2 linked regions of the Diceros bicornis minor genome follow. The protein of the gene in region 1 interacts with the protein of each later gene in a biochemical or structural test. Links are inferred from orthologs where the notes say so. Each region holds a gene or a part of one and is shown on either strand. Other genes may lie near its edges.

Region 1 (7,347 bases):
TACATCTTTATGTTCATAAAATGCCATGGAATAGATTCTTTCATTATCATACCAATTATGCAGATAAGCAATCTGAGCCATGCAAAGTTAAGTGACTTCCTCAAGGTCACACAGCTAGAAAATGGTAAAGCCAATGCTGGAACCCAGACAGGTTGACACCAGAGTTCAGTCTCTCAAATTTTTTCTTAAAAAGCAGTATACAAAATATGAGGAAAATGCAAATAATTTGTAGCTACAGATAGGCTATAATTTTTTTAAAAGACTAACCATAAAACACTCAGAACTCTTTTCCAAATTCTAATGATGCAAAGTTTGCAGTAAGATCTTACCTAAAATGTGGTGCTAAAATAAGGGCATTTCCATTGTAATCATACTTACTTCATCAGATAAGTAGAATCAATACAACAAGAATCTAGAAATCTCCTTAACCTTCCAGGCTAAGGACATTCAGAGGACACATATGTAAAAATGATCAAGAAGGAAGACCGGCAGTGAGAATACTTGGATTTGGGTCATAGAAACTTGAAGAGTTTCTGAAAAAATATCCACAGTAATGGAGCAGCAGGTGGATTGGACTTTATGTGGCAAAGACTTGCAAAATGCCCCTCAGCTTCTTTAGTAACCTCACGCATGGTTAGTAACTTAGGGAGCATGACATTTTTAGTACAAAAGAAGAGAGACAGAGAAACAGAGAGAGAGCTACACACTACAGCAGTTAAATTATAGCCTCTGGAGTCAGAATCTCTTGGATTTGCCTCACAACTCTGCCATTTTCTAGCAGTATGACCTTGGGCAAGTTACTTAATTGCTCTGTGCCTCCATTTCTCATCTGTAAAACAGGGAGAAGGAGTACTTACTACAAAAGGGCATTATGAAGATTAGAGGAGTCAGTAAGTGTAAAGTACTTAGAACAGGGCCTGCCACATGTATAAGTGTATGATATGTTACTATACATATTATTATTATATATTATTATTATTATAGAATGGAAGATGGATAGATGTAAACTACCAGGAAGAGCAAGTACAGGTTATTTGGTGACTAAACCATCAATCCAGGGGAGAGAACATCTGTTTTGGTTGTACGGGGACAACCCAGATGTATCCCAGATGAATCCGGACAAGATTTCCTTTTGCCAGGCACAGACAGGAACATATAGTAAATCCTATGGCTATATTTAGGACGCGAGATATATATAACCCTAAGCACTGGGGCAAACCCTCCACAATAATAATAAATCCTCTTTCTGTGTTACCAACACTGAGAAAAGGTGTTCAAAGGAAGAATTATTAACGGTCTCCCCCTGCCTCCCCTCCCTTCCTGCGATTTTTGCAAGACCAGTGGAGTATGTTGGCGTTTCCAAACTTCTTCCCAGGAAGTCTGAAATGGGTACTACTAGGAGTTGCTGTATGATTACTTAGTTGATTCCCTCTAAGGAGCTTATGCTAAGAATTGAGGAAAGAAGGCAGATTAACCATTTGAATACACGCCACGGCCCATCCACAAGCCCGCCTCTCTCTCCGCCATAAGTGGGGGCTTCCACAGTCCCCACCCGTCAACCCCAATATGTGATCCAGGGAAATCAATTTATTGCTTTGGCTAATCCTACAACAATAGGGGTTTCATTTTCATTGTAGGGCAATTAAGTTGTCCGACGAGAAGGAAGGAGCGGGAGAGGAAGAGGGGGAGGAGGGACTCTTCCATCCGCATAGACAGATTAGTCCCCGCGGAGGCAGCAGCGTCCGCTCTGTCTGTCTGGTGGTCGGTCACACGCAGCTCCCGGCTGCTACCTAGCAACGCAAAGCCAGGGAGAGAGCTCGCCGCTTCCCCGGCCTCCTCTCGCTCTTCCCATTCATCCCCGGTTTCTCTCGCGCGCGCTCTCGCTCTCCCTCGCCCTCCCTCTCGCTCTCCACCCCCCCCCGCCCCCACGCGCTGCTGTACTCTGTCTTCAAGCTCTGTCGCTCTCTCCTCCTCCTCTCCCTTTTCCTCTCTACGTGCTCGTCGTCTTCTCTCTTAGGGGACTCGTACTGTTTTTATTCTCTCCACTCCTTCCTCCCTCTCTTTCTCTACCTCTGTTTCTGTAAAAAGGTAAACTCTCCGACAACTTGAGAGAAGTTTAAAGCGCTTTATAACAGAAACTTTCTTCATTCGAGCCCTCAAAACTCTGGCCGCGCAGACGGGCCCCATTCATCAACACAAAAGCCCCCACCTCCCAGATGGAAAGGAAAACCCTTCAAGAAAATGCTCCAGTGCCTCAGCCGCTCTCTCAGCCAATCCCACCTCCCGGCCTTATCTTGCCTCGTAAATGATCTGTATCGAGACGCGGTCTCTTGGGGGTCACCGCGGGACCAAGTTTCCCTGGTGAAGAAGGAGGGGGGCGGGGGGCGGCTCTAGCCCGCAGCAGTCCAGGGCGCGCGACGGGATCTCCCCGGCGGGGCGCTGCAGGTGGAAAACTGCGCACCGAGCAGCGCCGAGGACCGCTCAGCCCCGGAGAGAATAAATCAGTGGGGGTAGCTGGCTGCGCACTCACTGGGGAAAGAACCTCATTCTCCGGGTCCCAACTGCAAAGCGCTTTCCAGAAGGTCGGGACAAACTCCCGTGGGAACAAAGATGGGGTCCCGGTGGTGTGAGCTGTCGCTGAAACCGGAGGAGCTCCTTTCTCAAGTTTGCGGCTGCTCAGTTCCCGAGCGGACGAAGGAGGGGCGCTCCCACTCGCCCCTCGCTGGGCAACCTGAGCGCCCCAGGGGGGGCCGCTCCGGCTTTGCCGCCCTGCCCTGGCCCCTGCCGGGCCGCGGTCCCCATCGCCCGCCTGCGGACTCGACCCTGCCACGGCAGGGGAAGTCAGGCGCTCCGCGCGGAGCTTGAGCCGGCGGGCGCTTACCTTGACCACTGGCCGGCGCCATGCAAGCGGCGAAAGCCAGCAGCAGCGTGCACGCCACCGCCGCCGCCCCGCGCTCCATCCCCGCGACAGTCCCGGGCCCCGGCCTCGCCGTTCCTTCCCTGGGAGGTGGGCGCGCGTCGCACACAGCACCCGCACCACTTCCGCTCGCGAGCGCTCCTTTCGGTCCGCGCCTCGCCGGGCTCCTAGTGGCGGAGAGCCGGCCCCGGCGCCCGAGGCATCCCGTTTTCTACCCGCGCCAGTCCCCACCCTCCAGACAGTGTATAAAGCCCTTTAGACCCGACCGCCCCGGAACTAGCATGCGGGAATCCAGCGGGGCAGGCCCCCTGCCGCCCGGCCCGCCCTCTGCACTTTGCAGCGAGGGAGGAGTGGGGACTCGAACACACCGCGCTCACACATGCACATTCCACGCGCGCACACCCACACACGTACTCATACAGCCTCACACACAGTCGCACACACTCCTCAGTGTCACACAAACTGACACGCAGTCTCACACGCTCATTCACGCGCGTGCACAGTCCTCAGTCACACACACGCGTGCGCGCACTCCAGTCACACGCACAGACACTGACACACATGCACGCACACTTCACAGTTACACACCCTCATTCATACGGGCACACACACTTCTCACAGTCACTCACATGCAAACACTCGCACGCGGTCCTGCGCTGCCCTAGCCCCTCTGCAGGATTATCCTCCGCATATAAGTCGGCTAGGCGGTCCACGGAGAAATCAGACTTAGAAAAGGAAGAAAAGGAAGACAGGGGAAGGGGAGAAGTAAAGAGCCTGCTGGAGAGAGTTGTGACCATTCTCTAGTCTGAAATCCGCAGTCTCCCTCCAACACTCTGGTTTCCCCCCATAGAGTTGAGGCGCTGAGATGGGGTGCTCTGTGTTTTTTGCAAGTTATGGAGGGGGTTGCATCAATGTCGGGGAGGGGATTGGACCCTTGTTTACTTTTCTTAAGTACCACATCTACAGGTGTCACGGCCAGATTGCGCTTCTACAAGTCTGTTCATTCTGAAGCAAACTTGAATGCGCTTCTACAAGTCTGTTCATTCTGAAGCAAACTTGAATGAACGTCTTGATCTTGCTGGTGCCCCTCTATGTGAGGGAGAAACGAACGTAAGGGGTTCAGAGAACCCCGCAGCTCCCTTCCTTGGGGCAGTGTTGGGACAGGCTGGCGGGGAGCTGGCCCCCAAGAGCACTACAAGTGAACTTTACATTCACCCTCAGAGATTCGTCCTCAGCAGGTACGTGACACCAGAGCCAACAGAAAAAAAAAAGCAGGGTTGGTGCATCCTGTTGCCTGGCCCTGGGAGAGGATGTTTCCGGGCCCGGGGTCGCCCCAGAATCTCCCTCCCCGGTCCCTGGACTAACTCGGCAGCGGGGTCCCAGGTGCCAGGTCCTGGTCCCAGGAGTTGGGAGCCGTTTCCCTCAGTCAGAGGGGCCGTGACCGTGGAGGCGGCAGCCCTGTATCCACGAAGTCCCCGGGCAGGGTCCCTCCGCCTCGCCCTCCCCAGGGCGAGAACCTGCCGGTAAATGCCACCCCTTTTCTGCAGAGCACGGATCGTCTGGGGCTCTGCCTACCCCCAACAGTCGGGATCGCGTAGCTTCGGTGGGCTTTAGCGGTTGGTGAAGCTTTGGGGGGGGTAGATATTGCTTTTAAAAAACAAAAAGAGAGAGACGGAGAAATAGACACAGAAAGTGAAAACTAAGACTTAACAGAGCAGGGCTGTGAGGAAGTGTGGGAGATATTTCGTGGCTTTCTTTTCGAGATTTCTAGATTTGGAAATCCAGAGTTCTCTGATCTGACCAAAGTCACTGAAACGCTATTTGCCTCTCTGCACAGTGTTTGGCGCTGTGCGGCGCGGAGGAGGAGGCAGGATTGGGGACCCGAGGCGCACGGTGGTGGGAAGTGAGAGGGACGAGCCGGGTGGGAGGAGGGAAGCGGCGAGGGGGCGAGAAGCTGCACTTCAGTCTCCCCGGGTGATTTATGCCGGTTCCGGGCGGCCGGGGTGATGGTACGAGACCGCGCCGGGGTCAGGCCGCTCCGACGCCGGCTGGAGCCGCGCTGCATAGTCAATGAGCGTCTCCGCACCACGCAGTTACAAAGAGCGGCGGCGGGCGCTGGCGAGGCGCGCCCCTGGGCCCGCCGGCGGGCAGGGGGACCGCATGCGCGGGAGGGGCTGCGCGCCTCCCAGTGCGCGCGTGGGCGCGTGGGGATGCGGGAGGGTGAGCGCGGGCGGGAGTGTGTGTGTGTGTGTGTGTGTGTGTGTGTGTGTGTGTGTGTGTCCGTCCTTTCACTGTAGCAGCCGGGGCTCCAAACATTCCTTTCTGCACTGAAGGGTTTTCCTCATTGTTGTTGTCTTTGTGCTCCAGTGTTGCCAACTTACTGGAATTCCTGACGTGGTTGCACAGCAGGGCTCAGGCTGACCGTATGAGCCAGCTGCGTTTGTGTATGGGGCCGACCCTGCCGTTAATCCCAGAATAACGCCGGAGAAGGCCGAAAGAATGGAGGGAGAACGGGAGGGAGGGGAGCAGATAAAGGGTGGGGATGGGGGATGAGGGACCACTAACGGAGCACAGTCCATCATTCCCAACACTATGCATATAAACTTACGCATCCACACTCTTTTCCACTAGAAAACCCCTTTTTCTCAATGCAACCCGAAACTCGTGCCGCTTGAAAACAGGCATCTTTTGCAGCCTGCACCATGCTCGTGTTTATCTGCCGTATCTATACCTGAGAATTCTCGTTGCTAGATTTGGAGGATTAAATCTAAGGACCAGCATCTGGGAAAGCCCAGGTTAATGGAGTTGTGATTTAAGGCAGCATTGTTTTTATATTATGCAAAAGTGTAATTTCTTTATTTTCCACATCTCTCTACACATATGCACATAAGACTTTACAGAGCAGTTAACCGAAAGAGACAGGAAAGTGCTGAAAAGTGAAATTTATTCTAGTAAATTTATGTTAATTGACTTCCTTGATATATTTTTGACTTGTCTATATTATTTTACTTATGCATCTCAACGCCAAATTACTGGAAATATTTTCAGAGCATTTGTTCCTATCCTGAGCCAACTTCTGCTTCCTGCAGTGGGCATGAAGTTGTAAAATCTCCTTGAGTAAAATCCAACTTCAGTTTGCTATTAATCCAGCCCAGATTTGCCTCCTGAGTGCCCTGGAGCCACCTGTTCACTGGACAGCTCTAATCCAATGTCCCTAAAACCACAAACTCAACATGACAGAGCCTGAACCATAAACCTTCAGAGTTCCTTATCTCAGTAAGGGGCACCATCATCTGCCCCAGAGGCCAAGGCGGTAATTGTCATTCTTGACTCCTCTCTCTTTTCCCCACACCCATTCTGTTAACTCAAGTTCCTCAATTTCACTCACTTTTCTCTCAAACCCACCCACTTCTTTCAACCTCATTCCCAGAAGCCACCAACCTCTCTCGTCTGAATTATCACAAGAGCCTTGTAATGGGCTCCTTGCTGTCAGTTTTACCCCTTCCCATCTATCCACCTATTTTCCTTTCTGCAAGCAGATGATCCAAAGTGATATTTCCATCAGACTAGTGCTATCAAACAAAGGTCATTACCCATTAGAGGGTTATGAAATCAATTTATCAAATTATTTTCAAATGAAATAGAATAGAATAGAAACTAAAATAACTTTCATATGGAAAAGATATGACTTGTTTCACAAAGCTCTTGTTTCAGATATATGATTTTATTTATTTATTTATTTTTTCCCCCAAAGCCCCAGTAGGTAGTTGTATGTCATAGCTGCACATCCTTCTAGTTGCTGTGTGTGGGACACGGCTGAGGGAGGAGAAGCGGTGCGTTGGTGCGCGCCCAGGATCCGAACCCGGGCCGCCAGTGGCAGAGCGCCCGCACTTAACCTCTAAGCCACGGGGCCGGCCCTCTTGTTTCAGATATAGATAGATGGATAGATATGCTGTCTCACCATGTAAAATATATTTCTTATTATGCATCTCAGTCACAAAAGTTTGAGATCTCTCCCCACAAATTACTTATTAATTGAAAAGAGAAAATAGTAACTATAAGTGGAGAACCTGGCAGATGTTTGAATAGGATTTATTATTATTTAGGTATGTAAGGTCAACAGATCAGGAGACAACTATCAGTGAAAAGATAGTTTATTATACTCACAGATCCCAAAAGAAAGAATACAGGTCACGCCTTTGGGGGCCCACAGGGCACCACCAGACTCTTCACTAGGAGACAGAAAGGGGGGCGGGTTGTGGGCAAGCACCTTCTCTGTGATTTCTGAGGGAACACACAGGCAGGCAGGGTAAACAGATTTAGGATTGGCTAGTCTGTGTTTGAAAAGCACTCCCTGGGGAGAACTCCTGAGGAGGGAGGCCAGAGGTCAAGGCAAGGTGACTCAGGCACATTATCAGGTTGTCCAGAAC
Region 2 (7,908 bases), on another chromosome or scaffold:
GCCACGGGGCCAACCCCTACACTATGTGTTTTATTTGCCTTATTTCAATTAATCTTCATAGTACACATTTGAGGTTTATAATATTATATCCTCATTTTATAGGAAAGGAAACAGGCTCAGAGAGGTTAAGTGATGTGCTAAGGTCACATAGTTAGGAAGTGGTATAGCCAGAATTTGAACGCAGGTTTGCCTGCCCAAACTCCATGGTATTAGCCACTCATTAGAGGATACTCCTTGCGTGTGTACTGTGCTGATTTTAGAGCTTCTCAGGACATAAAGATGAGGAGGGTCCAAAAAGGTCACCTTCAGGCTCCCATTCCAAATCTTCAGCAAAGCCAATGTTCTGAAAACTTGAATTCTCTCTTTAGAATGCTTCTGGTTTTGCATGTTAAAATTAAGAATGAAAAGATATGCACTAAGATACAATTTTTAATGCATTAAGCATTCAAGAGCACAAGTTTAGTGCAAAGGTTAAATTTGAAGCAAAAATATAACTTGTCAGTTTCCACTGAAAAAGCATTTGAATTCTAGCACATACCGGGCTCTGCTATCTTTTTTTTTTTTTTTTCCCATGTAGCAGTTCTCCTAAGACCTGTTCTCTCACCCACTTGCTTTCCTTTTATTATTCTTAGACCATGATGCATAAAAAAACAAGGTTTACATTAAGTTTTAGAGAATAAAATAAACTGCTTCTAAAATATTTGTGTTTCAAATAAACATCTAAAGCAAAATTTACAGTCCTTCCTGGGGTTTTGGCTGTCCAAGAGCTGCATATGTAATTACATTTACATCCCTTGCTTCCTATAGAGTGTCAGACAAATGCCATCACAAAGCATGACTGGGCAGGCACAGCGATGTCTCTAACAAATAACTGCCCAGACAAGGCAACCAAGGGCATCTCAGTTTGCAGGCCCATATTGACAGATTTTAAGACCTGAAAGAGAGCTCTTTTAATCCTCTTCCATGCAGCTAAGAAGACAGGGGAGGGAAAGAGCTGAAACCACAGGGAGAAAACACACACACACACAAAGTAAGAAGTTGCTTACATCTAATTACAAGGGAACAAACTTACTGAAAGGTTTGGTCATAAAGCCATAAGACCACATCCTCTAGAAAACATGCAAAGTGATATAGTCGTTTTATTATCACACTATGCATGCGAGTCTTCATTACCAGATATCTGTGTGCCTCCTCTCCAGGCACTTTCTAAGTGTTGGGAGTTAAAGGATGAACAAGAGGTCCAGCTCTGAAGGAGTGTATACTACAGCCAACAAACAAAAACACAGGGCATTTTTAATAAAGTGAGATACTAACAAAGTGCTACTAAAGCGAAACAAAACAAAAGCAATTCACCCAACTTGGGGAGTAAGGAAAGGCCTCCCAGGGGGTCCCACTAAGGTCAAACCTGAACAATAAGTAAGAGTCGGTATCAAAGAGTGGAGAGCGACAAAAGACTTCCGGCTGGCTTGACGGTCCAGTGGTTCTCAAAGTCTGGTCTCTGAACCAACAGCATCAGCGTCATCTGGGAACTTGTTATAAACACAGAGTCTGGGCCCCAACCCAGACGTGGCGAATGCAAAACTCTGGGGAAGAGACTCAGCAATGTTGTTTTAACAAGCCCTCCAGGTGATTCTGGTGCTGCTGGAGGCTGAGAACCACTGGGATAGCAAAGGCGAACTGCAACAGACAGAATGCCTGGAGGGTAAACAGGGCTGGCTGGGGGGACTGGGTGGCTCAGGCAGAGAGGTTGCTGGAGGGATGGGCAGAAAGCATCTCAAGAAGGGCTTTGTATATTTTGAAAAGATTTTTGGATTTTACACAGAGAATGGAGAGCCATTCAAATATTATACTATGAGTACAAAAAACACCAAATAATGCTGGTGACTATTAAAAAAGATATGCAATCACAAAGACAGTACTATGTACCATTCCAGAGATTTAAAAAAACTCCATTCCTGTACAGATAAGTAGTCACTAGGAAAGGAACCAATTCGGCCCTACCTTTCTTTCTGGAGTCTTTCTTGGCGCTGGTTTTCACAGCTACTTGAAGTTCTGTCTCAGTTGACATCCTACTAAATCCTTAGTCCACTTCACACAGATCCCGGGCCTCGGCCAGGCTCATTGAGGACTCCTCTCCAAGAGAACGACTCCTCCCTTCAGAAATGACACCCCAAGCCGCACATTTCATTCACTCCTTTCGAGTGCTGCAAAGGGGAAAGAGAACATTCAGAATAATCACCCTTTCGAAGTTAAACAGAAATTAAGGGAAAGAAATGAACTGGCAAACACATAAAAACAGCAAAATCTTGGTCTCCATGTGCAAACTGCTCGCATGACTTCACCAAGTCATTGACAGGGCTCACCTAGCACAGGAATGAGAGTCTATGCAAACTCTTTCTCAAACTAGGTAACTCAGAACAGATCCTTAAAACTCTGGACTTTCAAGAAGGGCAAAACCCAACTCTTTCTTTTCCATGTTTCGTATTTTCAATCACTAGATGCCACCCAGAAAATAGAGCAAAGGCGTATTTCCTGACTAGCCCTGTGGAGACATTTCCAACAGCAGGCACCCATCCATCAGCCAAGCTTGATCAGAGCCTTGGCAGCTAAAGCAGATCATAGGGAAGTGACCTGTGGTCTGTCCCTCACTGGCAGGCATCAGAGGGGACATGGAGTTGACATACAATTGGGCTCCAAGGGTAAAGTGACAAATGGGGCTGAGAAACTTTCCAGCAAGCCAATTTTTATGTCAGCTTTTCCCCCAGCTATAAGAGCAGACAAGCATGTAATGTGAGGAGAAAAAGAAAAGAAGCAGGCAGACACATTTCATTCATTCTTTGTTTAATAACTATGCACTGCACACTTCTAGGTACTATTAAGTTCAGACACTGTGCTGGGAAGAGATAATAATGATAATACAACCACTTCAATTACAGCCAGTATTTACTATGCACTTACTATACACTATGCCCTCAGCTACTGCTTCACATACATTATCTCATTCGATTTCATTTAAATTGAGTGAATGTATTCTCTGTGTCAAGTCAACAGTCTTTCCCAATGACTATTTATCTGATAGTCATATCTGAGAGTGCAGTCGAAAATAAACATTTCACTAGTTACCTGTTTTTAAAGAATACTAAGATAAAGCTACTGGAAATGGATCTTCAAACCATGCAGCCAATTCTTAGCTCATTCTGCAGATCTAGAACTGTTTCATCTGCAAAAGCCGACCTTCAATCCCACTTTCAGTGCAAAAAGAAGAATGACCCAAACCTCTTAATCATGACAATTAAAGATGGCTTACCTATCATGCTGTGGCGGCGTCCCACATATAAAGTAGAGGAAGATGGGCACAGATGTTAGCCCAGGGCCAATCTTCCTCAGCACAAAGAGGAGGACTGGCAACAGACGTTAGCTCAGGGCTGATCTTCCTCACCAAAAAAAAAAAAAAAATGATGGCTTAACTAAAAGCTCTATACAAAAGCCACATAAATAAGGCTTAAATATAAGGAAATTCCCACCTTATCCCAAGACATCTGGTTTGTTTGTAACAAAGGAACTGTTTTTTAAAAAGGACACTGGCCCTGAATGAGAGGTGCCTGAACTAGAGGATCTAAGGCTACAACTAAGGAAAACGGAAAATTACCTTCCTAGAATGGGGTCTGTGAAATCATGTGTAGAAAATGAGAACTTTTCCTGCCACTTTTGTGCCATCTATCTGCACTATGCACTAGCACTCATCCGCTTCCTAACCTCTCCCCTGCAAAAGACAACACTCCATGAGACGACAGAGTCACAAAACTCAGTCATATATGGACATAATTAATTTTATTAATTTATTAATTTTACTAATAATACTTATCATTTCACTGCAACAAATATTTACTAAGAACCTACTATGGGCCAGGTGCAGTCGCTGGCTCATTCATGTCAACAGACATTTACGGCACGACCATGCTGGGCAAGAGCACAGGGCCAAAGCCTGATTCCTGATCTTAAAACTCAGTCTAGCAGAGGTGTCAGTCATGTAAGGGACTGCAATACACATGACCAGAACAAAAACAGGCAAATACCAGGCATACTGGGGCACAAAGGCACAAGTGCTCAGCTTTGCTTGGAAGTCCATAAAGCTTCACAGAGAAGTAGCCCTACACTGCGGCATCTCGAAGAATGATGCTTCTGCCAGGTGGATGATAAGGGAAAGGAGCAATGGGTACTCAATAAATGTATGTATAATGAATGAATGGTTGTTTCAAGCAGAAAGACCAGCATGTGCAAGGAGGCTTGAAATTAACAACCAAACTAATAAAAGGAAGCATAAGTCTAGTAGGGAGGTGATATACTTCCCATCTTCTCAATTTTTCCTTGTGCTGTTACCTTTCTATGCAATCTTTCTTTACAACTTGCCTTGACATTCTACCAACCCCTCAAAGTTTAGTTCAAAGTATCTTAGGCAGAAAGATTTTCTGATCCCTCTGTTAAATGGAATCTCTCCCTACTTAAGTTATGATCTGATTTTTGGCCAACTGTATAGTTTGAGCCACTTACAAGCAATGTGACATTGAGGACATTACTCAACCTATCTTTACCTCAGTTTCTCTGTCTGTATAATGGGGATAGCAGTAGCAACTTCACGGAGCTGCTGTGGAAATGAAGGTGATCAAAGGTGTAACAAGCTTAGAAGAGTGCCTGGCACATCTCCGGGCAAGCACTTCATAAATATCAGGCACTAATAGTTTCCTATGTTAATTGCTCAAGGTCACATGGCTGGTATGTAGCCACAAGTCTATATTATTATCCTCCTTTTACAGAGGAGGAAATTAAGGCAGGTTAAGTCTGCTTTCTAAGGATGAAGTGAGGAAATGGTAGAATCTAAGATATTTCCATCATGCTGGTCTTGCACACAGTAGGTACCTAATCCATAAATACTGAAATGAGCTGAAATATACAGATTTTACACAATTTCAAGCACTCTTAAAAGTCAGCATATTGGATTTGGGCCATTTTCTCCTCTTCAACTTTGTAAGCCACAACACAGCACCTCTCTCTATCTTGTGGGTATCTCCAGCGTCACTTGTTCGACAAAATGTGATTGTGTTCAAGTGCCACAAGCATTACTGGTGAATTTCTGAAGTACATCCCTATAGCAATAATGAAACAAAACCAGCATCATTTCAAATAAAAACTTAAACAGGGAAGCTGCGGTATGCAGAGAGAGTACCATGGCCCGGACTCTGGCAGTCCCTTTAATTTTCCAAAAGCCAGAGGTTGAGCAAATGCTGTGAAGTAACTCCAAATTATTTAGGAAATTCGTTTCTTTGTAATTAAGGAGATTAAAGTCCTCCAGGGCCAGAAACCATGTGACAGCTCAAATCATTTTTCCCCGGTAAAAGCTGTGAAACCCTATCAGTTAAATTCAGGCTCGCCTAGAATTTTGAAATGCTTCAATAATGTTTCTTTGCTCCACACAATCTGCAGTAATTTAATATTCCTGAAGTGTGTCAGGTTTTTTATAATGAGCTCTTCAAATCTAAATGTGAATTATGTAACATTCCACTACAGACATTCTGTCTAGTGAACTGCTTCTAAACGTAAAAGCCGGTGTTCAGTGGTGGGGGGGACACGAAAACCACAAAGCAGAGAACACAGATTGGCATTTTTTTTTTTTAACAAAGCACAAAGGTTTGAGCAGCTACAACAGAACAAACACATACTAAAACACCTACTATAACACAAATTTGTGTTCTCTCTCCTCTTCACCCACCCCTCTCCTCCCCACCCACCCTTCTCCTCATACAATCCTATAGTAGAACAGCTAATGTTTATAGGGGCCCACTATTTGCCATTGTGTGCTATGAACTTTTCATATTTTATCATATTCAATCCTTCAATCACTTGAAAAGTTAGATATTATTATCACTCTCATTTAACAAATAAGGAAACTGAGGCACAAACCAGTCTAGTAGCTTGTCCATGGTCACATGGCTAGGAAGTCACACAGCAAGGGCAGAGTACAAGCCACTCTTCTCCCCAGTTTCACTCAAAACCCTCCCAGATGTCCATCAGCTGGTGAATGGATAAACAAAATGTGGTGTGTCCACACAACGGAATATTATTCAGCCATAAAAAGGAATGGAGTATTGATACATGCCGCAATGTACCAAGCTGTAACATCATGCCAAGTGAAAGAAGTTAGACACAAAAGGTCATATATGGTATGATTTCATTTACACAAAATTTCAAAAATAGGTAAATCCACAGAGACAGAAAGCAGATCAGTGGTTGCCAGGTGCTGGGGGAAGCAGAGAAGTGGGCAGTGACCACTTAGTGGTTATAGGTCTCCTTTGAGGGAGACAAAAATGTTTTGGAGCCTGATAGAGTTATGGTTGCACATCATCATGAATGTAGTAAATACCACTGAATTGTACACATTAAAATGGTTAATTTTATGTAAATATCACCTGAATTTAAAAAAGTACAAAACCCTCCCAGCCAGGTCCCACACCCTGATTAAGCCTGTGTGATATGCTAAGAACACTGCAAACTCCAGTCTAAAATGTCAATCCAGCCTTAAAAACCAGAAGAAGAGGCAGTCTGCCCAGACCCAGGACTTTGCAGGGGGAGGTGTGGCACAACTGCATGCATAAAAGCTGCATGCCACTGCCTGCATGTTCCGTGATTCAGGGCATCTTACTCAGCTCCATCCGAACTATAAAGCACCGAAAACAGGCCGTTTATCAACAGGCACAAAGGTTTGCAACAGTACAGATGAGGAGCCTCAGTTTCCTCGTCAGTAAAATGGGAAGACCACCATCAAGCATGTAAGATTTGGAAGATGAAGGAAAGGGAGAGACATAAATCTGCTTATCTTTGCAAAAAGAAACACAGGACAAACCAACCAGACCACAGTGAAGCTGTTGATCTGCATGGGGACATGCTAGGTGGTGGGGAGACTGGGTGACTGCATAGAAGGATATGGCAGCGGGGGACACTTCTCAGAGTACTGTATAGCTTTTTGCATAATTTCTACATTTGGAATACATGAATGTTCTACATATCTGAAAAAATTAAATTAAATTAATGAGGATGGGAAGTAGGGGTGAGGATAAAACTAGAAGTGGACTGGAACAAACTGCTCCAATTGTATTTCAAATGAACATCATAAACACAGTCGCTGAAGAGGTGGGAGAGAAAGAAGTAATACAAATAACTCATGATCACAGAATTTGACTCTTTACACTCAAGTCCTAGGCAGGGTTGGGACAGGGGGAGCTGCAAACAAGCCCCAGACTCTTTCCAGTAGGTTTGTCCATGGTCACATGTCTAGGAAGAGCCATTATGCCCCTATTTTAGATGTGTTATAGGACCAAGCAAAGGAGTAAAAGCTTGGATGTTCTTGGGAGGCAAGTTTCTCGTTATGGAAGAAGAGACATTTAAATACAGAAAGGGGGATGGCAGGAAAGAACGCTGTGGGGACAGACTGGAAACTGGAGATTTCAGGGTAAATTCCTGATTTATAAAATATACATCCATCTGTATATGAACGTATAGGTGCACACATATACAGATATGTGTGTATATATGTGTTTATATGCATATATTTCCCCCCTCTGTCCACTGAACCCCAGTAACAACGTGATACCCAATACCTGGGTTTGGGTTTCTACTACCATTCCCCAGTAAAAGAAACCAGGGGTTCTTGAGAATGGGTGATTCCAGAGCTGGGGCAGGGCAGGTGCAAGGCGAGCCCAAAATATCTTGTTATCCTAGAAAGGAAGGAAGTGCCGAAAACAAACACAAATGATGGGGACATGTCACCAGGACACAGACGCCATCATGGAGGAGCTCTCACTGGCCTAATCTGGAACAAGTTAAACACTCATTTATTTAAGGATGGTAATAAAT

The links.
Region 2: the proteins of LRP2 (region 1) and DAB1 form a complex in vitro, tested with the Homo sapiens proteins (2 studies listed by BioGRID). The link is inferred for Diceros bicornis minor from reciprocal best matches to the Homo sapiens genes LRP2 and DAB1.

Annotation. Positions count from the first base shown.
Region 1 is NC_080749.1:51,012,129-51,019,475, forward strand, and holds the start of LRP2 (low-density lipoprotein receptor-related protein 2), read right to left. Parts: upstream 3,123-7,347; 5' UTR 2,961-3,122; coding exon 2,882-2,960; intron 1-2,881. UniProt on the Homo sapiens protein: Multiligand endocytic receptor. Acts together with CUBN to mediate endocytosis of high-density lipoproteins. Mediates receptor-mediated uptake of polybasic drugs such as aprotinin, aminoglycosides and polymyxin B.
Region 2 is NC_080752.1:19,192,238-19,200,145, forward strand, and holds the start of DAB1 (disabled homolog 1), read right to left. Parts: upstream 3,401-7,908; 5' UTR 3,308-3,400; intron 2,205-3,307; 5' UTR 2,069-2,204; coding exon 2,002-2,068; intron 1-2,001. UniProt on the Homo sapiens protein: Signaling adapter of the reelin-mediated signaling pathway, which regulates the migration and differentiation of postmitotic neurons during brain development.